Linked DNA regions of Tamandua tetradactyla. The protein of the gene in region 1 interacts with the protein of each later gene in a pairwise test. Links are inferred from orthologs where the notes say so. Each region holds a gene or a part of one and is shown in the gene's direction. Other genes may lie near its edges.

Region 1 (7,746 bases):
CTCACACCATGAAGCAGAAGGAGGCTAATTTTGACATTGTATCTGGAACTCGTTACAAAGGAAATGGAGGTGTATATGGCTGGGATTTGAAGAGAAAAATAATCAGCCGTGGAGCCAATTTTATAACTCAGATTTTGCTGAGACCGGGAGCATCTGATTTGACAGGAAGCTTCAGATTATACCGAAAGGAAGTTCTACAGAAATTAATAGAAAAATGTGTTTCTAAGGGGTATGTCTTCCAGATGGAGATGATTGTTCGGGCAAGACAGATGAATTATACAGTTGGCGAGGTTCCAATATCATTTGTGGATCGTGTTTATGGTGAATCCAAGTTGGGAGGAAACGAAATAGTCTCTTTCTTGAAAGGATTATTGACTCTTTTTGCTACTACTTAAAAGAAAGTTACTCATTTACACTTATCATGTTCATTTCAATTTAAACAAAAAAGAAGGCTGGTTGCTGATTTTTATAAAATGTACTCTTAGAGCATAAACTGTAAGGTAAGGTAAATTTCATGTAAATCTTTTTTTCTGAAGAAACTCCCATTTTATATTTTAAATTAGAAAAATGAACAGTTTCCTCAATTTCATTTTTATTTTGCTGTATTGAGATCTATAAATAAATGTATGATTTTTTGCACAAAAAAAAGGTATATCTACATCCATAGAGTTTTAAAGTAAGGGGTAGATAACTGTTTATTCTCATGGTTTCCATGAGAAGAGATTTCCTCAACCTCCCACACTCCCACCTTTCTCTAGAAGTGACCTAAAGGGGGTTGAAGCAGGAGCTGAGCAGGCTTGGCCTAGCTCCTTGTCTTTTTTCCCTCTTTGAATCTGTTTGCAGAGGGAATGATTTCTCAGCATCTCCCAGCTACATGTAAGCTTAGCCAGTAGGTTCTGAAGGGGAGAGGTAGGCATACCTCAAGGGTTAGGAACGTGTTCAATTCAAGGGAAGGCAAGCAAATCAACTGACGATTGCTAAACCATTCCCTCTAACATGGTTTATAAAACTAATAAAGGTGACATTTTGGTCCCAGGGTTCTGACTCCTGTATCTTTCTACCGGTTCTGTATAGGTTTTGAAATTGGCAAGGAGAATTTGTATTGTCCTAAAATTTCAACAAGAAAGAAAAAATAATGAGTTTGCTTTGTTTTTGTTTTTGTTTTTTAGGTACAAAGAGTAAGTAAAGTGAACTATTTTTTCCTTTCCTTACCACTGTCAACAAGAGGAGAAATGTCCTACATACACCAAAATTCCTCAATTGTACTGTTATCATGCTGTTAACTTTTAATTTTGAAGCAATAAAATCCATAATAAGGACCCATATTATATTTAGAATCCTAAACGATGCTATTAAGATTTTTTTTCTAACATAGGAATTTTCAATCTTAATGAGTTAAAAATTTATATGAGAGGACTTCTGGGAAGATGGCCAAATAGAGTAGCTCAAGATTAGCCCTGCTTCAGGGAAAAATTAGAGAAGGGACAGGAGAGCGACTGAGGCAGCGATTCAGGAGTGAGGCTGACCTGGGAGAGCATTTTGCACCACAGAGGGCAGCCCTAGTTGCAGAGGCCGAGGAACTGAGAGGTAGAAACCTGGAGACTGGCGAGGAGACACAGAACCCATGGGAGTGCACGGACAGGAGCAGGGGACTAGGAAGTAAGCCGGGCCACATTCCTTGGGTGCATACCCTCACCAGTGCAGCCTCGTGACCGGTGACTCACCCCACACCCCACGCACCCGAACCCCGTCATACGCTCCCATTTCCCGGGCTCCAGGCACCCCCACCCAACCATCCCTCAGTGCATGTACCTGCCCCACACTTCACCCCAACTGCAGCACATTTCACCTCTCCTGGCACCCCTCCCGAGCACTACCTCCCCCTCCCTGTTCCCTGCAGGCTGTTGCCAGCGCATAAAGGCTGCCAGCACTACCCTCCATACCCAGGCTACCCCTGCCCCCCTGCCCATAGTGTCGTACAGCTTCACCCCACACCCCCTCAAGCTCTGTGCATCAGTTTAAGCACTCCTAGACCCAAGCACAGACAGAAGATAAACAAGGATATAGAGAAGTTAAATAATTTGATAAATGAATTAGACCTAACACACATATACAGGTCAGTGTACCTCAAAGTACAAGGTTATACTTTCTTTTCTAGTGCTCATGGAACATTCTCCAGGATAGATCATATTCTGGGGCATAAAACAAGTCTTAATAAATATAAAAATAATGAAATTATTCAAAGCACTTTCTCTGATCACAATGGGATGACCTGGATCTCAATAACCACCAAAGGAACGAGAACATTCACAAATACATGGAGATTAAATAACACACTCTTAAACAACCAGTGGGTCAAAGAAGAAATTGCTAAAGAAATCAGTAGCTATCTAGAGATGAATAAAAATGAAAATACAACTTATCAGAACTTATGGGATGTGGCAAAGGCCGCGCTGAGAGGGAAATTTATTGCCCTAAATGCCTTTATCATAAAAATATATTTAAGCCCTCTAGCCTCCTATATACTGGAGCAGCTAGAAGTAAAAATCTGAGAGGATCGTATCACAGCCCATGACACACTCGGGGATCTGTCCTATAACCACTTGTTGAAGAGTGCTTTGAAAACTATTGCTTTTTTATTTCTTTGCTTTGTATATATGTTATACTATATAATTTAAAAAGTTTAAAAGAAATTACCCTTCATCCCATTAAAATAATTAATTTTTAAATATTCCTGTGGTGATAATTTCTTGATATACAACACAAAAACTCAGTGCTATTCCACCTCTCCTGAACTACAACCCCTTCTAACCTTTAATAATACCCCTCCTTGTTTAAAGAATGTACTTGTATCCCAGTATCTTCATAAATTTCAATCAACTAAGTTACACAAGGTCATAACAAATCTGCTATGATCTCAAATTACCTTTATTATTTATTTTTATATAGACACAGAAAAAAGAGAACACAGCATGTCTATCCCAATTATCCTCGTTTGAAAATTAGTGGATTCTTCGACAAAGTCAGCAAACTATGGCATGTCACGTGTATTTTTGTATGGCCCAGTAAATGGTATTCATATTTTTAAAAGGCTGGGGAAAAAATCAAGACTATTTTGTAACACATGAAAATTATATGAAGTTCAGGTTTCAGGATCAATTAATAAAATTTTAATGGATACAGCCACACCCATTTCTTTAGTATTACCTAATTCTTTTTTTACACTACAAAAAGAGAGTTCAGTAGTTGCAACAGACACTACACAGGCAATGAAGACAAAAATATGTCCTATTTGGTCCTTTACAGATAAAGTTTGCCAATCCCTAATCTATGTCATACACCATGCCATTCATAATTTTATAGTTTTACCTAGGAATTTTCTCCCTTTTCCCTCTATAGTCAGTGTACAGTCTCCTTAATAAGCTATTGGTCTCCAGACAAACATTCTTCATAGTCTTGGACATGGACCCCCTCCAGGGAATCTCCTTAGTCTAACAGCATCCCCAGTCATGTATAAACAAAAGGCGAGTAAGGATTGCTTTCCGAACTTAACCATGTAACACCTTAGAAGTTACAAATGCACAACAACAACAAAACAGAATCAACCTTCTTCATCATCCTTCTCCCTCCAAAGCAAGGCTAAAGAGGCTGTTCTCCCAGCTAGTGGCTTTCAAACTACCCTAACGAAGAATTAAGTTTTGTTACCTGGAACAAGTACTACTGCTAAAGTCCCTAAGGCCAAATAATAAGAATACAAATTAATGATCATAATTTTCTCAAGTATAATTTTATCAAGTTTTTCTCCAGATCTTTGGGTACCACACATACACACACACACAAAGTGATCAAAAAGCAGAGGATCTTTAAGAAAAAAAATAGACGAACTGTATTTAGCATGTGCGACCCTAAATTTTTACACTTCACATATTTGATTCTATTTTCCGCAAGTAAATAGTTTCTGGCTCCCACGATGAGAGGCTCTACATTACAATGTTTGTATAGCATCCCAACTCAAGACTGGAACAAGCTAGATTCCTTCCTCTCCAAGAAGGGTACACCAAAATTTGCTCATGATCTCTTTCAATCAACATTCTGCTCGCCAAGCGTTGGGAGCGGGGCAAACTGCCTTCTTCTCTACCAGCAGTTTCATACTCATCCTAGCACTAACTCCTCCCCAGCCCTACCACAACTCTACCCAGCACGAGCTCCTTCACAGCCCCAGCTCCTTCCCAGCCCCAATATCACTACTCGGCACCAACTCCTCCCCAGTCTCGCCACACCTCGATCCTGCAGATTCCCCCCCCACCCCCAGGCCCATCACCTCACCCCACTGTAACAAAGTCCCGACCTGCGGAGCTTCCAGCTGCAGAAAGGGTAGAGTGTGGAGTTCCCGTACAAGCACCATCTGACCTTTCAGAGAAACCCAAGTCACAGTCCCATAAGTGGAAAGGACCGGCCTTGGCTCGCACCAATAATGGGTGCGTACGGAGAGCTTGCAGCGGTCGTGCTCCAAGCGAGGCGCAAGGGATACAAAGGTGAGCAGCAGAGACCTGAAATACCAACTCTCCGACTCTCACTCCAGCGGGAGAGGAGTATCATTTCGAAAAAGCCCGCCAAACCAGAGGCGCGAGGAACAGCTCTTGAAGTACACGGGAGCGAGAATTTAATCCCTGAATGTTAAAAGGCTAAAACTCAAGTAGTCGGAAGTGACGTGCGAGCTGCGAATTGCAGGTCCGCCACGTAATTGGCCACCGCCTCAACAAGCCACTTTCTCTTCGGACTTGCCTGAAGAAAGGGAAAGTGTGGCTGAAAGCCCACAATCCGCCCCTGTCCCGCCCCCCGACTCCCAGCGCCACCGGGGAGCCGCGGAGGCTGGCCAGGGCCCTAGCCCGCAGCGTGGGCAGGGCTGTCTCGCCGGACCAAGAGGCCGTCCAGCGCCCTGCGGGCAATGGGCTTCGGCGCTCAACCACGCGCATGCGCGGCCCTCTTTCTCCAGAGGATTCCTCGGGTCACCTGCACGCCGGCATCTCCGCCACCTGCCCCTCCAGGTCCCTTCTCGTCCTTGACTCCTCCCACTGGTTCTCACCTCCGGCCCCATTTCTTCTCCTTCTTCCGCAGGCCCCGCTAGGCCCTGCCACGGCCGCCCGCGGACACCCGGCTTTCGCTCGACACGAGCCACTCGGCGCGGCGCGGCTTCCGCTTCCGGCGAGTATTGTGTCGCGCTGCGGGGCGGGGGCGGGGGGAGGAGAAAGGAGGGAGGCAGCGCTCCGGTGGCTCCGCGCCCCGCAGTCCCGGACCCGAAGCCGGGAAGGTAGGTGCTGTCCCGCCGCCGGTCCCAGACCCCGGGGCCTTCCCCGCCGGCCGGCTCCGCACGCCGCGTCCCAGCGCCCCGCGACTGCGTCACCGGTCCCCCTCACGTAACCACTGCTGCCTCCCCCCGCCTCAGGCCGGGGCGGACGTTTTGCCGCCCCGGCGACGTCAGCGCGTCCGGCGTTGCTTGGCTACCCCGTGGTTCCCCCGTCCCGCTGCCGCTCGCCTCCCCGGGTGAAACTCCGACGCCGTCACCGCCGGTCTCGGCTGCGTCATAGCAGCGGGCATCCCACCTTCACGTCACACCTCCTCACCTGGACACGCATCCTTCCCTCCCCCGCCAACCATGACGTTTCTTGCCCACCCCCTCCAATCCCTCTGCGCCAGATCTGGCGGGAGAACGTGGAGACGGGGGTGGGACAGAGTTGTGGACCACGCTCAGGAGAGGGTCGCAAGGTGGGACCTTGGACAGTGGTAGAAACAGAACGTCGGCGTCCCACAAGTTTGCCTGTCTACTGACACACAAAGCATAGAGGAAGAGGAAGGACCAACCCAGAGGCACCCAAGGCATCATTATGCCTGTAGCTCCAAGTCCTCTTCATACTTCCCTGACCCTTTATCCATTTCTTTTTCACATAACTTCTCCGTTCCCTCTGCCAGTCTAAATCCATCCTGGCCCCTAATGTTGCATACAGTTCAACCCCAGGTGAGGAGGTCGCCTAATTTCTAGAAGATTGAGGACTAATGTCTAGTCAAGGTTGGATTCCCATAGGTAAAGAAAAATCGTCTGACTGAACTTCGGTCCTGATGCTGGGGGAAGAAATTCATGTTCAAAGAACTTAACAAGCTCCTACTCCAAATTAAACATTTTCATATGTACCATCAATACATACAAGAATAATCTTTGGTAACTCACCCATTACATGTTCACTTGCCTCTCAGCAGATATACCTGCTAAATTTCCTTCCTTTATTGGGTCTTGGGGGGTGGGGGGAGGATGGACAGGATGAGTACAGAGAAATTATTCATGAATAGGAGTGTTACCATTTTAGGGATGGAGTAGCCTTCTGCTTTATAAATACCTTAGATGCATTTTCAGTTCTTTTGAGGTTTCACTTAAGGGAGGTTTTAATTACCTCTTTACTTTTCTTTCTCCGAATTCCCAACCACTTCAGAATTTATTACTTGGAGACACTATTTCCAAGGAATTAGTTATGAATAGCTATCATGAAAGTCATTGCTGAATAATTAGAGTAGAATCATCAGCTCTTTCAATAAGTTATTGGCTTTGGCTCAATATTGTACTTTCTAGTTGCCATGAATTTATCACTTTTTAGCATTTCTAAATACCCAAATTTACACGTACAGGAATGGATGTTCTGTGAATCATTTCATTCTAAGAAGAGGGCCCAGTTCTCTAAGCTATTCTGATAAAACAAAGAATAATTTCAAACTTTCTTGTAAAGGAGATACTACCCTCACACACCCATTCCATTCATTACTCTTTGAAAGAATGAGAAGAATGGTTGAAAATCAAGATAGACCCCAGTGAAATATAGTAATAAAATTCTTCTGTAACATTAACTTCAGATTTAATTTAATATCTTAACTCTAACGACAGCTTTTATTGTCACAAACTCCTTTCTCATCTGTTAGAATAATATGTCAAACTACGGATATATTGGTCTGGAATTACTGGTTCTAAGATATAAGTAGAATGTGCCTGCATCAGGAACACACTGCTTGGGTTGGGAGAAGCCTTTGTTTTTAACAAGAGAAAGCAGAGGTAAGAGACAGAAGATTGGGGGGAGGTGGGGAGTAGTCTGTTTGGCAAATAGTAAAAAAAAAAAAAAAAAAAAGATTTAGGTTGATGGCTGGGAGTCACAAGTTTGGAAATAGAGAAACAAAATAAAAGTTGAATCTAGAGGAAGAGAAGATGGGAAATACTAAGATGGGACTAAACTTAGAGATAGGGTTTAATGTGGGGGTAAATGTCAGACCAGGGATGCAAAAAAATTAAACCTTCAACTAATATTTTTCTTTTCTCTGTGCCCCCTCCCCATTCCCAAGTTAAATAATGGCAGAGACAAGTCTGTTAGAAGCTGGGGCCTCTGCGGCCTCAACAGCTGCAGCTCTGGAGAACTTACAGGTGGAGGCAAGCTGTTCTGTGTGCCTTGAGTACCTGAAGGAGCCTGTCATCATTGAGTGTGGGCACAACTTCTGCAAAGCCTGCATCACCCGTTGGTGGGAAGACCTGGAGAGGGACTTCCCTTGTCCTGTGTGTCGAAAGACATCCCGCTACCGCAGTCTCCGGCCTAATCGACAACTAGGCAGTATGGTTGAAATCGCCAAGCAGCTCCAGGCCGTCAAGCGAAAAATCCGGGATGAGAACCTCTGTCCCCAGCACCATGAGGCCCTGAGCCTTTTCTGCTATGA
Region 2 (7,901 bases), on another chromosome or scaffold:
ATCTAATCAAAGGCCACACCCACAATTGGGTGTGTCACATGATTGCCAGTGACATTCAGAGTTTCTCTCTCAGCTGGAGAGGCACATGGCAAGATCTGCTAGCTTTCTCTTCAGTGGCTTCCCCAGGGCTTTGTCTGTTCTGTTGGCTCTGTCAGTTCTGGTGCCTCTCGTGGCTCTAATCAAGTTTCCAACCTACAGTACTGAATCAGGATTAAAAGAAACGACTGCCCTCACAAGATTGGATCAGGATTAAAACATGGCTTTTGGGAAATACATAATATTTTCAAACCAGCACATACCCTCACAGCTCACTCTTTCACTTCCTTGGGGTTTTTGCTTAAATAAATTCCTTCCCCCAATGTATGCAAGTGTAAGTAAATCTCAAATAAATGAAATTTTCAAAGTATAACACACACATGGAAAAGTCTGAAAATCAGAATGGGCACGGCACGATGAATTAGCACAAAACGAATCCATCCAGGCATTCACCACCCAGGTCAAGACTTGGAACATTCCAGAGGCCCCTTCCTAATTACTCCACAAATCCTCCTTCCTCCCCCCGCCCCACCGCCAAACAATCCCTATCCTGCCTTCTAAGATAGAATCAACGGACTATTTTTTATTTGTAGATAAATGGAACCATCACCTGCATATTTTCACATGTGGTTTTTCTTCAATATACTTGTGAGTCATTAATAATGCCTGTTGCACGTAGGCAGGAGTTCATTCTTTTCTTTTAATCGTGGTGCAGCATTCCCTTGTGTCAATAAACTACTAATTATCTATTCATCCCACTGTTAATGGAAATTTGGGTTGTTTCCAGTTGGGGCTTCCATGAATAATAATACTGCTATGAACACTGGGTACAAGTGTTTGGTGTGCAAATGTGCAGCGTACCTGTTGGCTATGGGCCCCAGGCGCGAGCTGGTGGGCCTTATATATGGGTGTGCTCAGTTTCAGCCGACACCATCAAAAAGTCTTCCACAGTGCTTGTAGAGCCCGAGAGGTCCAGGGGCTCCACTGCTTGGCCTTCCAGTCCTCAGAAGACAGCAGGAAGTGGTGCAACAGTGGCTCAGTGGTAGAATTTTCGCCTGCCATGCCTGGAGACCCAGGTTCAATTTCTACTTGGAATGGTTAAAATGCTTCTGAATATTACGTTATGTTTATTTTACCACCCGAACCAAAGGCGCTGGTGAGTGTGAAAAGACAAGTGATGGAGTGAATACTATAATGATGATGATGTTGGTTCATGTGTTGTAACAAAGGCACCACACTAATGCAAAATGTTCAAAACAAGGAAAATTGAAGATATGTGTGTGGGGGCGGGGGGTAGTGGTGGATGGGGGTATATGGGAACTCTGTATTCTCTGCATGATTTTGCTGTCAACCTACAACTACTCTAATAACTAATTACTATGCCAAATAATAATTTATTAAATAAATTTATACAAAAGACAAGCGGTAGACTGACAGCAAATATTTACAACATGCATAGTGGACAAAGGACTCATGCAGAACTCAGACCAGATAATTACAAGAAAAGAGAGAGAACCTGACTCTTAATAAATGGGCAAAAGACTGAAACAGGCACTTTACCCAAGAGGCTAGCCAGGTGAACAACAGGCATATAAATCGGTATCTTTATTATTACTCACCAGAAAAATCAAGACCATAGCACTGGATACACCCCAGAAGGGCTAAAATGAAAGGGAATGGTGAATATCAAGTGCTGACAAGGCTGCGGAAGTCTCATCCATGTGTGGGGGGAGGGGGGAATGGTCATAATGGTAAAACCCCTTGAGAAAAGCATCTGACAGTCTCTTGGAAAAGTTCTGTGTGGCTCATTACATAACCCAGCCACTCCACTTCTGGCTGTAGACTACAGAAATGCAACCAAACTGCTTCAAATGAAACATATAAGTGGATTGTGGTAGGTTGGAAATGGTCCCCCCAAAATATCTTGGGCACTTCCTAGTCCTTGGAACTTGTGGCTGTTGCCTTGCATGGAAAAAAGATGTGCTTTTTTTTCAAGCCCTTGAGTGGAGCAGATTATCCTGGATTATCTGGGTGAGCCTTAAATGTGATCAAATACAGAGGCAGTTTTGAGACATGCAGAGGGAGTTTTGAGACAGACACCCAGAGGCGAAGGTGATGTGAAGGTGGAGGCAGACTTTGGAGGGATGCAGGTACAAGCCAAGGAATGCCAAGGATGGCTGGTACCCACCAGAAGCTAGAAGAGGCAAGGAGCGGATTGCTTCCCACCCCCTAGCCCCCACCTCACATCAGAGCCTTTGGAGGGAGCTCATTCCTACTGACACCTCAATTTCAGACGTCTGACCCCCAGAATTCTGAGATAAATTTCTGTTGTTTTAAGCCACTAAATTGGTGCTGATTGTTTACAACAGTCACAGAAAAATGATATGTTGTTCATAGCAGCTTTATTCGTAATGGCTCCAGACTAGCCATTGTGTTCTGTCCATCAACAGTCAAATACGTGAATTTTGGTGTCTTTCTATCATGGAATATGACTCAGTCACGAATAAGACTGAACTGCTGCCTCAGGCTGCAATATGGATGAAGCTCAAAGACATAGCGTTCAGCAAAAGAAGCCAGACACACAAAAAAGTACATACTATATGATCCCTTTCAGATGACTTTCAAAAACAAGTAAAACTCTACTATGGGAATGGAAGCTGGAGCCTTTAAAAGAGGCTTTGACTATACAGCATTTACAATGTGACCATGTGATGGTGGAAACCTTGTGTCTGATGCTCCCTTTATCCAGGGTATGGAGAGATAAGTAAGAAAATAAGGACAATAAATAAATACTGGTGGGAGGTGGGTAAGGTGTAAAAAAAAATGGGTAGATTGCAATACTAGTGATCAATGAGAGGGAGGGTTAAGGGGCATGGGATTATGTTTTTTTTCTTTTTACTTCTTTTTCTGGAGTGATGCAAGTGTTCTAAAAATGATCACGTGACGATCACAACTATGTAATGATAAAAGAAATTAAATGTGATGAAATATTTGATGATACTGTGAGCCATCGATTGTATACTTTGGATGGATTGTATGCTGTGTGAATATATCTCAATAGAATTGCTTTAAAAAAAAAAAGAGGCTTTGACGGAGATGGGCTCAGGGAGGCTCACAGCTTGGGACCTGGAAATGTTCTGTATCTTTAGCTAGTTGATGATTGCACAGACATATACAAGTTAAAAATTCACTGATCCGTACACTTGGAATTTGTGCACTTTAATATCTATAAGTTATAACTCAAAAAGTTAACACCACCATCACTACCATAAAAAAAACAAATCACTACTAAAACACTGCAAACAAGTGACCACAATCAAAGACACTGAATTTAAAAACATTTTTTGGTAATAAAATACGGTGGGAATAACATAAAAAATCTCTCACATCCTATCACCCAGTTTCGTGGTGGACAAAGTTTGACCAATCTTGTTTCTTATTTCCCTTCCATATACATACAGTTTGTATATATACGTAAATTATACAAACATTGTACAAAATATATATACACATATGTATATATTTACAAAATATATATGAATGTTTAGATTTGTTTTGCAGAAGTATTTACAACACTGTTCATCTGTCACATTATTTCACCCATAACTAACGCAGAATGCATTTTTCTTTAGTACAACTATCATGCCAGTGCCACCGCAAACAAAATTAGAACTGTCTCCTTTATATTATCTAGTACCTGAGACATAAACAAATTTCCCCAATGGCGCCAAAAATGTCCTTTGACCATTCTGGACTCCCTTATTTGATGTTGCAAACTGTTTCACCCTATCACCCTGTTCTCCTCTATTTCTGTTTTCCACTTTTTCTCTAGCACACCAAATCCCATCTAACCTACTTCAGATTGTATTTATTTATGGTATTGTCTATCTTCCTTCCCCACCCTTCTCAAAAATATCCTGAGCTCACCAGGGCAGGGAATTTGATCTGTTTTCCTCACTGCTGGTACAGAAATGAGTTCTGAAGAAATGTTAAAGGAATTCATCGTTATGACATCTGCCATTCATGGACAACTCTGTAATTGCGTGGGGTTGGTGTTATGAATCTGGAGTTCAGAAATGTTAAAGTTTGGGTTGCACTAAATTCTCCTTTAAATCCCTTAAAATAATCGCCAATCTCCTTAATTTAAGGCTCTTTGGGATCAAAATCGTCCGGAACTATCTCTTCCCATCCCTTATCACGCCCGCGCCGGGACTCTTTCATTTTCTGGAGAAAACCCATGATACTTCGCTTCCAGGCTCTGCGCAGACTTTTTCCTGGTCGGGAGACCTTCCTCTCCCACACTCTCCTTGTCTCCCTCACTCCTACTCGTTTGCCAAGGTTTATTTCAGCTGTCAGGCTGGGTGTCCTTTGTGGTCACAGCCCAATCCAGCACGAAAGTCCTCCTTAACCTGCTTCTCTCTTTCTCTCGTCCGCCATCGTGGACCCCCAGCCCCGAGTTCGCTGTCTTCTTCTACAGCACGAGGGGCTGCTAGGGCTAAAAACTGGGGTGGATTGTAGGGTCCCTGGATGCCTGGTTGAACTGCGACCTTATCACGTAGGCACTGGGGAGTCAGGGAAGGCTCTTGAGCAAGGAGGACAGGGCCACAGCTTTCTCCGCGGGGACCAGCCAACCTCTCTCTCCCACTCCGCGGCGGACGCAGGGAAGGTCGCCCAGACGCAACCTCCAGCGAGAAGCGCGCTCGTCGCCCCTAGCAACGGAGTCCGGAAGAACCACCGAGATGTGGTTCTTGAGTGTAGAGCGTCGCTCTGGGACGACTGGGCACTCAGAGCTAGATTGGTGCGCCGGGCCGATTGTCACGTGGGCGGCCGCGCGAAGGCGGGACTTCCGGCGGCGTAGTGTTTTCTTTCCGGTAGTTGGCTCCGGCAGGCCCCTCCCCGACTGGGCCGTGCGCCCCCGCGCCCCGCGGCTCCCCGCCGCTGGGCCCGCCGCCACCATGAAGAAATTCTTCCAGGAGATCAAGGCAGACATCAAGTTCAAGAGCGCAGGGCCCGGTCAGAAGCTCACAGACCCTGTGGGGTGCGTAACGGGCGCAGGGGCGGGAGAGGGGTCCGAGCTCTCGAAGGGCTGAGCTGGGCGGCGGGGAGTCGGGTGGAAGGGCGAGGCCCGGGGGCAGGTACGAGGTGAGGTAGTAAAGCGGGAGGGTGATATCTAGGGGGCGGTGCGGGAGGGGCGAGACCTCGGGGGTGGGGCTGCAAGGAGAGGGGTCAGTCGCGATATCTCAGGGGGTGAAGTGGGTGTGAGTCCTAAGCAGAGTTGGGGACGGGGAGGGAGCCCTGAAGGGGCAGAGATGATTTGGAGAAGTCTCTGTGACCACAGATCGAGGCTGACCCTAGAGAAGCAAGTACAGGTGGGGTCCGGAGGAGTCGTTGTCAAGCTCAGGGACAGTGGGAAGAGATTTGGGGCCCTGGAATGCATGGAGTACGGGGTGGGAGAGGAAAGAGTCTGGAAGCCCAGGGAGCCTGAGGCGGTTGTTGGAAGGGTTGGTAGTGACTTGGGAGGTTTGGGTGAATTGGGGTGCTTGCTCCTAGAGGCTGAGGAAGTTCTGGGAGGAGATTGGTGAGGGGAGCTGGGGGTGTCTGTGCTGGGAAGGAAATGGGGGCCTTGCATCTGATGGATGAGTCAGACGGGAGGAAATTCGAGGGAAGGCTTCTGAAACTTGTCTAGAGAGAGCTGGAAGAGGAGAAGAGCCTGGTGCAAGACTGGACACTCAGCAAGGAGGAGGGTATGTGAGGGGCCAGTGGAGAGAAGGAGGGTGTGTGAGGAGCCAGTGTCCTGGAGGGGTTTGTGAAGAAGTGGAGAGGGGTTGTGGACCTGAAAAGGAAGATCAGCTGGGGAATGGGGGGAGAGCGACAGAGATGTCAGCATGGGGAAGGGTCTGTGGGGAGTAATGGAGGATTGTGAAGAGGCAGGGGCATCGAGGATGCAGAGGTGGCAGGAAGGGGTGTTGAAGAAGGCATCGGAAGGTGATGGGGGTGGGGAAGGGAGGGCAGAGATATGGTAAGGACAAGTCATCTGTCACGAGGATTGGGGATTTTTTGGGAAGAGAGTGCCAAGCAGAACGGATTGGGGATTTTTTGGGAAGAGAGTGCCAAGCAGAATGAGAGACGGAAGCAGAGCAGACAGTTTCTCAGAGGGAAGAACCTGCTTTTGTCAGGAATCAGGTGCCTGAGGAGGGAGGGGAGGGCAGCTTGATAGGAGCTGGGGAGAGAGAGGGAGAGTGGTGGGCAAGACAAGGGGTTCCTTTCATTTATTAAAAAAAATAATGGGTGGAGTGGGGAGTGCTGTGACAGTTGGGACTGTGTGTGACGGGAAGGAGATGGGCCTATGGGGATAGTGATTGTGTCAAGACTGAGGCTGTAGGAGGAGAAGGGAGGAGAGGGAAGCCTGGAGGGGAGGGGATGTGGTATGCAATCCAGGCCTCTGTGACGTGTCTGGAGACTTTGGGCAGGGGGTGTATGTGCTCCCATGTGCCACACATTGACCACGACTAAGTGGGGGGACTTGTAGTGGGGGTGGCAATGAGTACACAAATGGATAAATATATGAGGAAAGATTAGGTGGTACTCAGGGCATTGAAGAAAAATATTCCAAGTTAGGGATGGTGCATGGCAGAGAGGATCATCAGGTGCCCTGGAAGCCCCTCTCTGAGAAGGTGATGTTTGTGCCAAAACCTGGATGGAGAGAGACTTGGCCATTTGGATATTGAGCCCCTCCGTATCTCCCTGCAGCAACCCCAGCCCTTCCCAGACGCCTTTTCCTCATCCTACCCGCAGACAGAAAGTTTCAGAGGTTATAGGTGAGAACCATCAGGGTACCTGGAAGCGTAGCCTGGAGAGCATTATGGATGGAGAGGAATGAGCGAGGGACGGGGTCCAGCGAGCCTCGTGAGCCATGGGATGACTTTAGGGTCTTAATCTACAGGGGTAAGAAGGGTTTTGTGCAGAGGTGAGTGACAAGAGCTGGCTTAGGTTTTTGAAGGCTCCCTCTGACAGCTCAGCAGAGAAGAATCGAGGAAGGGCCATAAGTGATGTTTTAGGAAGTTGTTTTTATAGAAAGATCTGAACATCAGAGGGGGCTTGGGTGGGTCTACCTGACACATCTTCTACCCCAAGCTCTTAGACCCTTGAGGTGCTTTGGAGAGGACAGGAGAGAGATGGGGTTGGTTGGAAAGCAGGAGATAAGAGAAAAGGGCTACCCTGTGGATGGCGGATCAGAGAAGAGTGGGAGGAATTTGGGTCCTGAGAAGGTTCTAGAGAGGAACAAAGATGACTTGAGCTCCTGGGGTTCGTAGAGGATCTTGAGGGACACAGGAAGGCAAGACAGGTGGGTGAGATCAGATTGGGAGAAAGGACTAGAAATGTTGAGTGCTGCCAGGTCCTTTTATGCTAAGAGTCCAGTAGATTATAAAACCTCCCATCTTAAGGGGAGAGCGACAGCTCTGATTTTGCAGGGCAGAGGGGAGAGGAATAACGTGCTCCTTCTCCCCTTGGCAGGAATGGGGGTTCATTGCTGGTGGGCCCCCTGGCCCCTCCACAGCTTGACCAAGCGCATGTGTGGCCCACACTTCTGTGAGCCTCTGGTTTGTGGAAAGGGGAGCTGAAGACCTCCCTCGGGGGCTGGTTATGGGAAATAAACCTGTTAAATCATAGCCAGCATCACACCTGGTGCCTGACACACAGTGGGCGCTCAGTAAATGAAACTGCCGTGCTGTTAGAGACAATGTGGGCTGAGCATTCCATGGACGGGGAGAGAGGAGCACTTCCCTTAGGTCCCATCAATTCCTTAAGACCTTGGGGTGCTTTCACGTGTACTTCATCCTGATGGTCCCCCTCATGTTGTGTCG
Region 3 (7,371 bases), about 75 Mb from region 1:
GGCTCTCCAAACTGCCCCCTCCCCCTGCCCCTTTAGGTCTGGGACTGGTAATGGTCCCCACCATTGTCAGCTCCAGGTCTTTCCTTAGTTTTTCCCCTTAACCCCACCTCTGCTTCTGTAAATAGCCCGTTCATTAAAAGCCCCCTTGAGTGTGGCCCGTGTTTCCTGATGGGTCCCTGTGATGGTGACGTGCACGTTTTGACTTGGCCAGGTTAGAGTGTTCAGTTGTTTGGTCAAGGAAGTGCTGGTCTGATTATTACCGTGACGTCATTTCGTGGACTTAAATCATCAGCCAGCTGGTTGCATGTATGGCAGATTACATCTACAGTCACCTGAAGAGGTGGCCTTCAGCAATGAGAGAAGGCTCATGCAATCAGCTGAAGGCTTTAAAAGGAGAAGTGATGAGTTCAGCAGTCAGAAGGGAGAATTTCCATCTCTATTTCAGCCAGCCAGCTTCTCCCGGGGAATTCATGGAAAGCCTTCCTTGGAGTTCCAGTTTTGCAGCCTGGCCTATGGAATTTGAACTCACCCAACCCCACAGCCATATGAGAGAATTCTTATAAAAATTTCATAATATTTACAAATATATCCTGCTGGTTGGTTTCCCTAGAGAACTTTGACTCATACAGGCCCTGAACTGATTCAGCAACTAATTTAAAATCTTAAAAATTCTGAGTGAGTCAACCCACACAGCCTGTCACCAGTTAGAACCCAGCCCCTCGTCTTACAGATGCTGGAAAGGATGGCGAGAGAAGGAAGGTGATGCATCAGTTAACCTGACTCCTAGGCCAGGTCCGAAGTGAAATATGGGAAGTTTGGTGGGTCCTTAAGCCAGGTAATATTATCAGGACCTGGCCAAGTCTTAGCTGGGATAGCTCTAGCTCCCTGGCTCGGGTTCACACTTCCTTAGCTCTTGGCTTCTCTTTCATTCTGAAATGAAAACGAGCAAGGGATATGTTTGCAAGAGGCGAGCTTAAGTTCTCTTAGATCTTGGCAGGTTGCTAACGGAAAGGCTTTGCTGGGCTGTCTGTGGCCGCTGTGGGTAATGAGCCGCATAATTGGAATGGGGAAGGGGTGAAGATGGCTTTCTCAGCCTCTCCCCTTAGGATTGTCTATTAAATAAACACTCAGACCCTTGAAGAGAGCAGGCCCTAGTTCATGTCCTCTAAAAGTCCCCAGTGCATGGGCCAGACATGTCAACGTGCATTTACAATATCAAATGAAAAGGGCAGAGAACAGGTGCAGGTCAGAGAATGGTTCCTAAGGAGATCATGTTTGAGCTGAATCTTGAAAGAGATGCTGGGTTAGCCTGGCGTGAAATGGTGTTCTGGAGAAGTGGAAGAGCAGGTGCTAAGGCCCAGTGCTAAGACAGAGTGAGCCATCAACGCACAAGTGCTAGAAGTTCAGCATGGCTGGGACTTAAGGTGTGTATGCGTTTGTGTGTAGGTGATGGGGGAGGGGATGTTCGAAGGCAAGCTGGAGTCAGAAGGGTCTTGAAGGCTAAGGAGAGGGCATGGGAACGCCTTGGAAAACTTTCAAGCATCAAGGAGATAACCTTGGTATTTGGAAAGGTTATTCTGGCTGCGGTAAGGGAAATGGAGCAAAGGGGGTGAGGCTGGAAGCTGAGACGTGTTCAGAGGCTGCTGCAATCCGCCAAAGATGGGATTGGCTGGGACACGAGGAGAGGCGGATGTGGTGGGTGGATTTGAGAGGTATGAAGGCAGCAGAAGGGGCAGGATCTAGGTTTATTGTAATAGTGTCAACCATATCAACAAGAGCAACATAGCATAGTGATTTGCCATAGCTCCGGTTTCTAGCTTCATGGGTAGAATCGCCTCCTCTCCTCTTTTTATTTTGAAAATTTTCCCTATACCCTTGTGATGGTTGGAAGCTGTGTATACCCCCAAAATGATCATGCTCTTTTAATCCATTCCTTGGGTGTAGATTATTGTAGTGGGACCTTTTGGTTAGGCTATTTCAGTTGAGATGTGACCCACCTCATTCAAGGTGGGGCTTAATCCTCTAAACGGTGTCCTTTATAAGAAAGATATAAGATAGAGAAGGACATCCCGAAACTAGAAGAGAGACAGAAGCTAAAAGAGAGAAACATGCAGATGCTCAAAGAGCAAACCACTGAAACCAGCAACTGGAAGCAGCGAAACCTAGGAAGGAAGGGAAAGACGGGCAGATATTGCCATATGCCTTCCTTGTGACAGAGGTATCCTGGAGTGCCAGCAGGACATGCCTTGATTTGGACATTTTTAACGGCCTCAGAGTTGTAAACTTGTAAGGTAAGACATCCCCATTGTAAAAGCCAACACATTTTTGGTATATTGCATTTCCTCAGCTTTAGCAGATCAAAGCGACCCTTCACCTAGATTTATTAATCATTACATTTCACCTATATATATATATATATATATATATATATATATATATATATAGTTGTTTTTCTAAACAACTTGCAAGTTGGTTGCAGAAATCATGATGCTGTTTCCCCCAAATACTCCAGCATTTATCCCTTCCTAATAAGAAGATTCTCTTACATAATCAAAATACCACTACCTTACTCAGGAAATTTAATATCAATATAATACTATGATCTAATATCAAGTCCATATTCAAGTCCTACCAATTGTTCCAATAATGTCCTTTTCTTTCTTTCTTTCTTTCTTTTTGCATGGGCAGGCACTGAGAATTGAACCCGGGTCTCTGGCATGGCAGGTGAGAATTCTGCCACTGAGCCACCATCACACCGCCCACAATAATGTCCTTTAAAGTGGCTCTTTTTTTTTTTTAAATCCAGTATCAAAGATCATGTATTGCATTTAATTGTTTTGTCTTTCTCCTTTTCTTTTTTTTGTGAATGTTAAAAATGTTAGTTTATTTAAAATAGATCAATTGAACAAAATAAATGAAGCCTGATATAATCGGTTCTACTTTTTTTTGTTAAAATGCTTTTTTTAACTTCTTATTTTGAAATCATTTTAAACTTAAGGAAAAGTTACAAAAACAGTACCAAGAATGTTCATGTTTGTTTCACTCAGCATCACAGATTATTTTGATTTTGCCACACTTATCATTCTCTCTCTACAAATATATATTCATTTATTTTCTGAACCATTTGCCCCTAAATATTTCAGAGTGCATTTTCTGAGATCATTCTCATACATAACTGCAGCACAGGTATCAAAATCAAGAAATGTAATATCGATACTATTCAAATGTCCCCAGTTTTCCCAAGAATGTCCTTTATAGCTTTTTTTTTGTCACTTGGGGAGGGGACCAAGTTTCCAACCAAGGATCACATTTAGTTGTGGCCTCTGTAGCCTCCTTTACTTCGGGCAATTTCCAAGCCTCTGTGTGTTTGCGTGTGCAAACATACACATGTGCGTGTGTGTGTGTTTTGCAACATTGACCTTTTCAGAGAATTCAGGCCAGTCGTTTTGCAGAATATCTCTCAATCTGGATTTGTCTGCTTTCCTATGCTTGGTTTCAGGGTAAACACGTTTGGCAAAAAAGCTTCATAGGGCATGCTGTGTACTTTTCAGTGTAGAGTATGAGGGCTTGTGACGTCAGTTTGGTGATGTTAAATTTGTATTTGGTTAAGCAAATTGAAATTTTGGCTTCACGTTTTACTAGTTGGGTAAATTGATCAAATGGGGGCAATAATACTAGTTTCATGAGGTTGTTGAATGAATAATTATAAGGTATCCAGAACACTGTGGTACATTGTAAATGTTCAATAAATAATTATCACTATTATCATCACTATTATTTTTACCAAATCTTATAGATATCTTCATATGTGAGAGGCGCGCTGTTCAATCCTCTACAGGCATTTTCTCATTGATTCTTTATCCCTCTAGCATCTTGGACAATGCATGGCAAATAGGAGGCAGATGACAGCTCTATGAGATGGATTGCTATCAACCTTGCACCACTTCACAGATGAGAAAACTGAGGCTCAGAAGGGTGATACAATTTATCTAAGGTCACAGATTGTGGGAGGTGGTAAGAGTAAGAATTTGAGCCCGGGCTTGTACGGTTCACCATAAAACGAGGCCTAAGGAACCTGGATGTATCTTGTGAACTGTCAAGAGCTGTGCAGATGTGAAAAACTGAATTGGAGCGCCTTGCACAGTGCTCTGAAACATATGTACAGTAGGCGCTCAAGAAATGCTTGTTGAATGAACAGGAAAGAAAATCAGTAAACTAGGTAGAGAGCTCCCTGCCAGGGTGGAGTTGAGCGCCCGGGCGAGACCCGGAATCGGTTTCGCGTGAGTACCCGCGCGCGGGTCTCCCGCAGGGCCGGGATCACGTGCTCCAGCAGGGTGTGGCTTCCTGTGACCCCGCCCCATCACCGAAACCTTGCCCTTGCCAATCCTCGCAGGGCTTTGCGGCTGTGGTGTTTTGGCCCGCGGGCGGAGCCGTAGCCACAGTCTCCCAGGTGGTCCGCAGAAGCGGAGCGGCTTGTTCAGCTCTGGGGCCTCTGTTAGAGATGTCGGAGAAGGAAGCTAAGGCGAGCAGAGACTCTCCGCAGGCCCGCGAGGTGACAGTTAGTGACATCCAGGAGCTGATGCGGCGCAAAGATGAAATCGAGGCCCAGATCAAGGCCAATTATGACGTGCTGGAGAGCGTGAGTGTGGGCCTCGGGCTCTCTGCCCGACATGGGGGGCGCCCCAAGACCTCCTGGCTGGTTCTCCCGAACCCAGGGAGGGACCTGGAAGGTAGGGGGCGGCCTCTGCTTGGACTCTCAGCTGTGGGAATTTCTCCCTCCCTGGGAGGTCCGAGGCGCCGCAAGTGCGGCTTCTGTTGGCGGTAGGTAGTGCAGACACGTTAAAAATATTAACAGCTCGTGTTACATAGTCCATTGAGCCTTTCCGGCATGCTACGCGCTGTTTTGAGTGCTTTACGTGCGTTAGCTCATTTAATGCTCGGAACAATCCTTTGAATGCGGTACTATTATTTTCCTATTTTAGGTTGAAGAAATTCAGCTAATGAGTTGCAGACGTTGGGCTGTAAACACCACCACCACCAGTCCTTGTTGAACATTTACTAGGAATCATATGTTTTTGTTGACTAATTTACATCAGGGTCTCTTAAATTTTAATGCTCATAACTTGGGGGTCTTATTAAAGTGCAGATTCTGATTCAGTAGTCTGGTTTGGATGCCCAACCCTGCATTCCTAACAAATTCATGAGCTATGTTGCAGATCTGAGGACTACACTTTGAGTAGAAGGGATTTATGTGTCCTGTATTCATCTGATAGGTTAGGCTGATTATCCTTAAACAGTGGAGGAAACTGAGGCCCACGATCTTGCCAATAGGATGTGGCAGCAGTGGGCTTGTTCTCAGGTGTGTCTGGCCTCAAAGCTGATGCTGTTTTTCCTGTCCACCTAGCGTAAACCCACGAATCAATTTGTAGAGAGAGATTAAATTGACTACATATAGGCAAGACGGAATGCAGTGTAGAAAATGGAAGTAAGATAAAGTATCACTTGGAGGCCTGAGTATCATTTCATTGGATACTGACTATATACCTGGTTATTGTTTGTGTTGTACCTTGAAATTCTGATACTCTGTAAGGTTGGTTTGTTCTCCTAAAGTACAGAAAGGGGAAGCCACTTGTGCAAAGGGACAAAGTGGGATTCAGGCCTGATTAATCCGGAACTTGAGCCTGCAGACTCTATGCCAGTAATTTCTCAAGCTTGAGTTTTCTGCCGTCAACAGGATGCTGTGTTCATATTCCTCCTGTACCATTATTCCTTGATACTTTTCTTTAGGTGGCCCACTTTTTTATTTAAATGAATTTATTTTAAAAGGAACTCTGTATCTGTGCAGCATATGGAAAACCAGAAACTCTGTAAAGTAAAAATACATGTCAAGGCAGTGCAAAATGTTAGTTGCATCTAGCTAGCTGCCATTGCTTGCTGAAGGCTTTAAGCTTTAACTCTGCTCTGTTTATTTAGAAAGAAATGGAGAGCAAAACACTTTCAGAAGAAAATATAGGAGTATGTAGCCCTGATATTGGGCTAGTCAAAGCCTGCATAGATATGACACCAAAAGCACAAGCTACCAAAGGAAAAATAAATAAATTGGACTTCATTAAAATTAAGAAGCACTTAATTTTTAAGCACTTCTGTGCTTAAAATTTAAATTATTAAGCACTTCTGTGCTTCAGTGGACACTGCCAAAGTAAAAAGACAACCTGCAGAGTGGGAGAAAACAAATCATATATCTGATAAGGGTCTTGTATGCAGACTATGTATAGAACTCTTACAACTCAACAATAAAAAGACAGATAAACCGATTAAGAAATTGACAAAAGATCTGAATAGGCATTTCTCTGAAGAAGATGTAGGAATGGCTAATAAGCACATGAAAAGATGCTCAGCATCATTAGCCATTAAGAAATGCAAATCAAAATCACAATGAGATTTTTGGGGTGATGATAATATTTTGGAAGTAGCAGTTTCACGGCATCGTGAATGTATCAAATATCACTGAATTGTACACTTCAAAATGGTTAATTTTATGAATTGCATCTTAAAATACACACATGTAATGAGATAGAATTTCACAGTCACTAGAAAGGCTGAAATTTAAAAGAGTAACAAGTGCAGAAGACATTATGGAGAAATTGCAAACATCAGACACTGCTGGTAGGGATGTAAAATGGTACAGCCTTTTTGGAAAACAGCTGCTTTGGCAGTTCCTCAAAATGTGAGTTCTAATATGACCCAGTGATTTCACTTCCAAGAATATACCCAAGAGAAATGAAGACATACATCCACACAAAAATTCACATACGAATGTTCATAGCAGCATTATTCATGATAGCCTAAAAGTGGAATCAACCCAAATGCCCATCAATTGATGGATGGTTAAACAAAATGTAGTGTTTGCATGCAATGGACTATTCAGCCATTAAAAAGGAGTGAAGTACTGATACATGCTATGACATGGATGAAGCTTGAAAACATAGTGCTAAGTGGAAGAAGCCAGTCACAAAATCAGTCACATTGTATGATTCCATTTGTATGAAGTATCCAGAATAGGCAAATCCACACAGACAGAAAGTAGATTAGTGGTTGCCAGGGGCTGGGGGTGGGGGATTTGGGCAGTGACTGCTGCTGGGCACAGGGTTTCTTTTTTGATAAAAGCATTCTGAAATTGTGGTGATAGTTGCACATATCTGTGAATACACTAAAACCATTGAATTGTACATATTAAATGGGTCAGTTGCATGGCTTATGAATTATTTCTCAATAGAGCTGTTTTTTTTTTTTTAAAGTAAGCATAAGAAATGGAGGGAGCCAGAGATAGCAAGTCATCTGGAGGTGTAATAAAGACCACCACCACGTTGA
Region 4 (7,626 bases), on another chromosome or scaffold:
TTTCAGAGTTGGGCTTAGAAAGAAAGAGGTCACATCTGAGCAATAGAAGAGATCCTCTGGAAGTAATTCTTATTCATAACTATAGGTAGGCTTAGAGAAGTGGACCTCTTTTTAACGGCTAAGTATATGCATGGCGTACAATTTATTTAACCAATATCTTTTTTATAGACATTTACTTGTTTCTAGTATTTTGTTGTTAAAATACTGAGAAAGGGAATATGCTTGTTGATTGCAGAAGTCGAGGATATAGTAAAGGTAGGGTAGAGGAAAGGATTCTTGTGATAGTTCACGTATAGGATAAAATACCTAACTGGACGTGTTGGGTCAAAGGACATGTGCATTTTAATTCTTCATATTGCCAGAATATCCTAAAAAATATTACACTAGTTTAAACGTCCACCAAAAGTACTACAGTATCTGTTTGCCCACTAAGTATTGTCAAACTTTCTAATCTTTGTTAACCTAATTGATAAATTTTCTAAGTTATTTCTTCTCTTTTTATTTTACTTTCTCAACTGTATCCAAAGTGAGAATTGTGCCCTTTTAATCTTAATGCTTGCAAGGGCCCAGCACTACCCTATACACCTTAATAATTATTTCTTGCTTGTTGTTGATGGTTTTAATAGCTCAGATAAAGGATCAGCATTGATAAGTTTCAGTGGCTGAGATATTTCAAACACAGCCAAGTGGCCATTCTGGAGGTTATTCTTATGCAGAATATCGATATCCCTTTTCAGTTTTGGTTGTACTGCACTAGCTAGAGGGAAATACCTGAAACTGTTGAACTGTCATCCAATATAATTAATTCTTGCTTGTTGTTGATGGTTTTAGCAGCTCAAATATAGAATTAGAGTTGATATGTTTCAGTGGCTGAGAGTTTGGACGTTACGCTTATGCAAAAAAAAAATCCCTTTTCAGTTTTGGGTGTACTGTGGTAGCTACAGGGAAATACCTGAAACTGTTGAACTGCCATATCGTAGCCTTGATTCATGAATAACTTTAGAGCTTTCAAGGTGTGACTAAAACCTTGTGTAAACCTTGTGACTGACACTCCCTTTATTGAATGTATGGACTGATGAGTAAGAAAAAAGAAATGAATAATAGGAGGGTGTGGGGGAATGGGATGTTTTGGGTGTTCTTTTTTACTTTTACTCTTATTTTTATTTTTTTTGGAGAATGAACATGTTCAAAAATTGACTGTGATGATGAATGTACAGCATTATGATGATATTGTGAACTTCTGATTGTACACAGGGCGCACAGGTGATTCAGTGGTAGAATGATCACCTTCCATGCAGGAGACCTGAGTTCGATTCCTGGGCCATGCACCTAAAAAAAAAAAATCATATGGTGAAATGTATGTGTGTGAAGATTTGTCAATAAAAATATTTAAAAAAAAAATCATACCGGAGTAAAGGGAAATCTGACATTGTGTACTTCCTGATGGAATGAACTGAAAGGGAAACTTTACCAACTACAATTACTATTCTTTCCAAACATGTGTTTAACCTGAATCTAACAATGAAGCGAAAAAAAACAACAAATTCAGATTACGGGACATTTTAAAACAAAAACAAGCTGGTCTGGAATCTTCAAAAACATCAGTGTCATAAAAGAAAAATAGTAGAGGGTAACTACTGCTCTAGATTAAAGGAGACTGGGCAATGAAATGCAATACGTGATGCTTGATGGGATCCTAGATTTCTTTTTAAAGCCATAAAGTATATTATTGGGACATTTCAGAAATTTTGAATATAGATAGCTTTGTTGGGAATATCATCATATCAATAGTTAATTTATTGGGTATAATAGCATTTTCTTGGTTTTATGAAACGATATCCGTTTTTAAGATAAAAGCCGAAGTGTCACCATGAATGTGACTCAAAAGGGTCAGCAAAAAGTCATAAATACGAGAGAAAGAGTAAACATAGTAAACCTATCAATTGGTAGATGCAGCAAGAATTTGGCATTTGTTACATTATTCTTGGAACTTTTCTGTAGGTTTAAAAACTTTCCAAATAAAAAGCTGGCCCTACCTCAGATCAGATCAAGTGAATCTGGGTGGGGGAGGGTGGGTGGTAGGGCCCAGTCCACAAGTATCTGCATTTTGAACAGATCTTTTCATTGATTTTTATGCATTCCACAATTTTCAATTTAATTTGAAGTACAATATTGTCACTTTATTTTAGTCTCTGTAAAGGTAGAGGCAGAAATACCTCCATCTCTTAGTTACACAGTAGTTTAATGACCTTGAGCAAAGGGACCCAAATCCAGTCCTTACAGAGTTCGACAGGCCTTTCCATGGTCCTACCCCCAATTTTCACCATTCCCTTCAACCATTTTGTCTTTATTTTCATGCAAATGGTTTTTAAAACTCCTGTGAAGGACATGGTAGTACGTGCCACCCTCCACATTGCTTCTGTGGACAGTTTCTACACATAAACAGATTTAGCCACTGATTTCCTCCAGCAACAGATAATAAAAAGAGGTGAATTGCACTCCTGTCACTGTTTAGCTTTAGGCAATACTTTTTAATCAGTTAAATTATAGATGTAGGGACTTACTGGCTAAATAACATTAATAATTAATAAAGAGTGAAAGGTCCAAAACATACACCTTAACAAAATTCTGCTTATCAATAGATTGGCAAGGTACTGCTTTTTAAGTGTGTAGTTATCACTGAAAATTGACTGATGGACTTACAATAATATGGGCCCCAAGATGATGCACAAATATCCCTTTAAGATAAGACACCGTTTATAGAAAGATGTCACTACCAATATAAAATATACTCTTTTAAGGCTGTAATGGGTTTCCATTAAGTAGGGATGAATTTGTAATAATTTCTTGGTTCCTCTGGTAAACACCAGCTTACAACTGATAGATGGTTCCAAGACATACAACGCCTAGATGGGTTTAGAATTGTCTGCTGAGACTACTGAAGATAAAAAAATAAACTAGATGGCTCATATAAGGAAATAGTCTTTAATTTTTAGCATCACAACTGTAAGTGGTCTCACACATTCCATGTTGGTCCAAAAGCATTTGAGAAGGCTATCTAATTTTAGATCCTAGGCAAGCAGGAAAGTTTACCTTTTCAAACAAGGATGAAATGCAAGCTGGTAAGCACAGGGTTTATTGGAAATATAGTGTAGGGTTGCAGGCATTTGTGGGTCTGGCTTTACACTCTATAATGAAATTTTTTTTACTTCAAAACCTCTCCAGCACTTACAAACTCTAGAATTTAGCTCTTGATTGTTTCCTCTTAAGAGATGGGTAGCATTTAGCCTTAACACTTAACCTAAAGAAAACACTCAGCAATTAGGTGTTAATTGTTTATGACTTCACCCTAGGATGGATTGGTTTCATCTTAAAACTAAATGATTTGCCACTGTCCTGATTTAACACTTTCACCAGTTTCTTAAATCCCAGGCTATTTTTAGATTTTGGATGAGACCATTTAAAACCTCTAGGGACCAGGGGAGCAGGGCGTACGGGGCTGAGGGCCGACGATGAGCAGTCATTAGACTGGGGGCCAGGTCAACTTTGTCATCTCCCTGCCTTTTAATTTTTGTGACAGTTCCTGGCACCATAATATCAAAAAAATAAATGGTGTCCTGTAAAACAAAACACACACGTGGTATTCAGAGCCAAATATTTTCTAAAATATATAAAAGTGGTTGTCAGTTTTTCTAGTAATCAGATTTTAGGCTGGCCTTTTGAATTAATGAGAATGTTTTCCTGAGTATTCGGGATGCTAGCTTGCAGTGCTGGCAGAAGGACTATACTTTAAAGTTACACGACAAAACGTAGTTTTTATTTTTACCAACGGGGATAGATTGGGCAACAGCTGAAAACCTTTGGAGCTTAAAAAATCATGCAATTTCTTTAAGTAGCAAAGACGGTCGCTCTCGATTTCAACAGCTTATCATTCATCCTGCATAAGTATTCAAAAACTGAAAGACTTTTAAAAAGATGACCAATATAGACCGAAATGAAAACATCTAGTTCCAAATCGGCGTGGAGCTGAAGGTGCTAGAAGCACCCATTTAAAACCTGCATTATAAACCACTCTCCCTAAGCTTTTAATCATTTACAAAAGTTTACACTGATTTCTCCCCGGCATTCCGTATACCTGCTACGTTACAACTATCAGCATTATTTTAAAAAGAGAACGAGAGAAGGCCAGAAGCAACACGGGGAAAGCAGAGTTGGCTATTCCAGAGACACTTGCAAATGACATACGACCTTCTTCTCGTTGGTAAACCTGACTTTTTGGGACGCGCTGGGATGCCGACATTTTCCCCAGCAAGAGTTTCACACTCTGATGACCTGACTGGATGCTAAACCCTTGGGCTAAAGGACGAGCGACTTTCTATCACCAAATTAAACGGCGATGCACACAGGTAAAAGGACCGTGGGCTCGCTGCATAACGCGCGTGTCGCGGTCGCCGCTACACCTGAGGATGCGCAGCAAACGTGCTCGCCCGGCCGCACTCGCCCACAGGGAAGCCGCTTCCGCCTCTCGGCCCCTCCCCGATCCCTCGGGCCCGCCTCTGCGGCAAGGACGTGGAAACCCCGTAGGAGGAGGGCGGGCACGGAGAACGGGCTCTGACTATCCCTTGCTGCAATATTCTTCCGCCGCTTAGCAAAGAGTCCCGGCCCTTCCCAAGGGTTCTGGGAATTCCCTCAACCCTGGAATATCGAAGAATGACAAAATATGGATTCCCCCCCAGTACTTTCTCAAGGTTTTACATGAGGTAGGAGCTTCAGGATCACAGTTTTGTGGCCGATCGAAGAGCGACGAGAAAATTCCTCCGCAGGAAACGGGTTCCGGCCGCGAGCCTATAAAAAACGGGTAGCGCGGTTCTGCTGTCTTTTCAGTCGGGCGCTGAGTGGCTTTTCGGATCATGTCTGGTGGCTCTGCGGATTACAACAGGTATGGCCCTCTTTTGGTGGCAGTAGTTTGTGGTGAAGGTCGTGTTGGGACGAGGGGAGGTTGTAGTAGATGGCTTCCCCGTAAGGAACGCCAAATTCATAGGTGTATCTTTAGGGGTACAGTATCCTGTGCCCTTCGGGAAGCTTCCATAATGGTTAATGTTCCGGATTATAGGGAGACAAGACGGGGGCAGGAGAATAGATCGGTTAAAAAGCGCCTTTTTTTTCCTTTCAAGGACGTTATGAAATGACAGTTTTCACCTCCCCTTGCGCTGAGCACAGTAAACATTTAGTTAATTTAAAGCTGTGGCGCAGTCCGGTTTGTGTTCTGTGTAACGGGGACCGGAAGTTTTATGTGCGGCCAGCGGCGCGAATTGAGTTCCTGGGTTTTGAATGGGGGAAGGGTGGCGGCAGCTTCCACTCGGCCCTAGCAGAAGGCGGATGGGGCTGCACCGAGGACGAGGGTCCGGGCGAACCGTTAGCATAGACTTCCTCAGGCCTCTTTCACCGTGTCAATCACAGTGGCTTGCGCAGTGTAAGGGGCGGAGCGCAACGTTGAAGCTCTCGCGAGAGGCCCCACCGCCAAACGGGAGCTCTCTTCTGGGCTGGAGTGAGAGGCCAGTGTCTGGGCTTCGCGTGCGGGCCTCGGACGTACTTCACCATTCAGGAAAGGAACATGGTGTGTTTGACCTGCACCTCCAGTTGGATAAATATTAGAAAATTACATACGTAGGAGAGGGTACTGTGCGATGACAGGCGAGGTTAAGTGTTACCTGTAAAAGGGCTATTCCCTTAAGGTGCAGTTGAGTTACGGTGGCTTAAGGGATTTTCTCTAACCGCGGTGTTCTTGTCAGCAGAGAACATGGCGGCCCAGAGGGAATGGACCCCGATGGTGTCATCGAGGTAAGAAACGAGTGTGGTTTTTGAAACTCTGGAAAGGTGAGTTTGTTCATCCCATTTACTCCTGCCCTTTTTTTTTTTTTTTTAAACTCACAGAGCAACTGGAATGAGATTGTTGATAACTTTGATGATATGAATTTAAAAGAATCTCTTCTTCGGGGTATCTATGCTTATGGTTTTGAGAAGCCTTCAGCTATTCAGCAGAGAGCTATTATTCCCTGTATTAAAGGTAAAGGAAAACTCGGGTGTTCATAAAGTAGTGGAATATTGTTCAGCGTGCACCTGGACCATAAAAGGGAAAATAATCTCTTGGGGACTAGCACGTATGTGTATTCCTTAAAGTGAAATGATGGCAATCATCTTTCGGGACTGACCTGAAATGAAGAGAATACTCATTGCTGATCACTTATTTGTTTGGGCATAGTTCATTTTCCAAATGGAATACATGGTATGAACTAGAAGTGACAATTTGATGTGGGATCGGTAAATATGTATCCTACTTTTTTTAGGGTATGATGTGATTGCTCAAGCTCAGTCAGGTACTGGCAAGACAGCCACATTTGCTATTTCCATCCTGCAACAGTTGGAGATTGAGTTCAAGGAGACCCAAGCACTAGTATTGGCCCCCACCAGAGAACTGGCTCAACAGGTATTGATAGTGTAGTTCAAAAAAACTGCTTGCGTGTTGCATAGGTTTCAGGTTTCACAACTGTGAAGACTTTAAAACAGTATAAATTGCTCCTATCAGGGCACTCTTGTTGTCCATGCATGCAGAGTTTTTGTTGAAAGTTAAATAGGAACTGAGTTTACAGGTACAGTTTGCAGGGTTGTATTCCAACAGATGATAAGCCAAAGCATTCTATTCCGAGCACACTAGATTTGTGTCCATTTTTAAGTTTGAATGCAGTTGTGCAACATGAAAACTGCAGTGACATGTTATTTGACTGTCTCAGTAGTTTGTGATGCATCTGTTGCATGCTATTGTTTTCAAAGCTCACTGCTATATTGGCTTTGAAGTAAACTTTCCTAATAAAGCAGGTTTTATTAAGGTCCAGACACAGTATCCCCATGGGAAGAGATTTTATAAAGTATCAATAATATGATATTAGATGTAATTGCAGAGCTTGTTTGACTGTTTACATCACCCCCTACTCGTGAGGACTAATGTAGAAAATTTTCAGTTCTTTAATTATCTAATTGGTACTTTCGGGAAATAGGGATTCCAGCTTTGACCAAGTACAAGAATGAGGCAGTTTACAGAAATTTAATCTTAAAACACTTGTTCAGTCTGCACTTTAAGCTTGGAGATAGTTATGTGCTATGCATGCAAAACTACAGACCAGATAGTTGAAATGTTTTGGAAGTTAGTAGAGCCTATGAATTTAGTGGATAATAATTGAGGCTTTTGATTTTTAGATTCAAAAAGTAATTCTGGCTCTTGGAGACTATATGGGAGCAACTTGTCACGCCTGTATTGGTGGAACCAATGTTCGAAATGAAATGCAAAAACTGCAGGCAGAAGCACCACACATTGTTGTTGGTACTCCAGGGAGAGTGTTTGATATGTTAAACAGAAGATACCTTTGTAAGTATTGTCCTTAATGCAATATTGCTAGGTCGGGTGGGTAAAAGTCCATTGTAACCATGAAAATCTAGGGATGATAGTATGACCTTTATATTTTTTTAACAGCTCCAAAATGGATCAAAATGTTTGTTTTGGATGAAGCAGATGAAATGTTGAGCCGGGGGTTTAAGGATCAAATCTATGAGATTTTCCAAAAATTAAAT

The links.
Region 2: the proteins of TRIM39 (region 1) and UBXN6 interact in binary tests that used the Homo sapiens proteins (3 or more experiments, as listed by UniProt). The link is inferred for Tamandua tetradactyla from reciprocal best matches to the Homo sapiens genes TRIM39 and UBXN6.
Region 3: the proteins of TRIM39 (region 1) and PSMD9 interact in binary tests that used the Homo sapiens proteins (3 or more experiments, as listed by UniProt). The two-hybrid records come from large-scale screens. The link is inferred for Tamandua tetradactyla from reciprocal best matches to the Homo sapiens genes TRIM39 and PSMD9.
Region 4: the proteins of TRIM39 (region 1) and EIF4A2 interact in binary tests that used the Homo sapiens proteins (3 or more experiments, as listed by UniProt). The two-hybrid records come from large-scale screens. The link is inferred for Tamandua tetradactyla from reciprocal best matches to the Homo sapiens genes TRIM39 and EIF4A2.

The regions. Positions count from the first base shown.
Region 1 is NC_135331.1:85,289,119-85,296,864, forward strand, and holds the start of TRIM39 (E3 ubiquitin-protein ligase TRIM39), read left to right. Parts: upstream 1-4,743; 5' UTR 4,744-5,311; exon of another isoform or gene 5,312-6,217; intron 6,218-6,966; 5' UTR 6,967-7,096; intron 7,097-7,380; 5' UTR 7,381-7,387; coding exon 7,388-7,746.
Region 2 is NC_135337.1:77,655,747-77,663,647, forward strand, and holds the start of UBXN6 (UBX domain-containing protein 6), read left to right. Parts: upstream 1-4,897; 5' UTR 4,898-4,991; coding exon 4,992-5,074; intron 5,075-7,901. UniProt on the Homo sapiens protein: May negatively regulate the ATPase activity of VCP, an ATP-driven segregase that associates with different cofactors to control a wide variety of cellular processes.
Region 3 is NC_135331.1:10,050,539-10,057,909, reverse strand, and holds the start of PSMD9 (26S proteasome non-ATPase regulatory subunit 9), read left to right. Parts: upstream 1-4,367; 5' UTR 4,368-4,501; coding exon 4,502-4,639; intron 4,640-7,371. UniProt on the Homo sapiens protein: Acts as a chaperone during the assembly of the 26S proteasome, specifically of the base subcomplex of the PA700/19S regulatory complex (RC).
Region 4 is NC_135336.1:5,774,082-5,781,707, forward strand, and holds the start of EIF4A2 (eukaryotic initiation factor 4A-II), read left to right. Parts: upstream 1-4,610; 5' UTR 4,611-4,910; coding exon 4,911-4,939; intron 4,940-5,792; coding exon 5,793-5,841; intron 5,842-5,934; coding exon 5,935-6,067; intron 6,068-6,177; exon of another isoform or gene 6,178-6,246; intron 6,247-6,347; coding exon 6,348-6,487; intron 6,488-7,254; coding exon 7,255-7,423; intron 7,424-7,528; coding exon 7,529-7,626. UniProt on the Homo sapiens protein: ATP-dependent RNA helicase which is a subunit of the eIF4F complex involved in cap recognition and is required for mRNA binding to ribosome.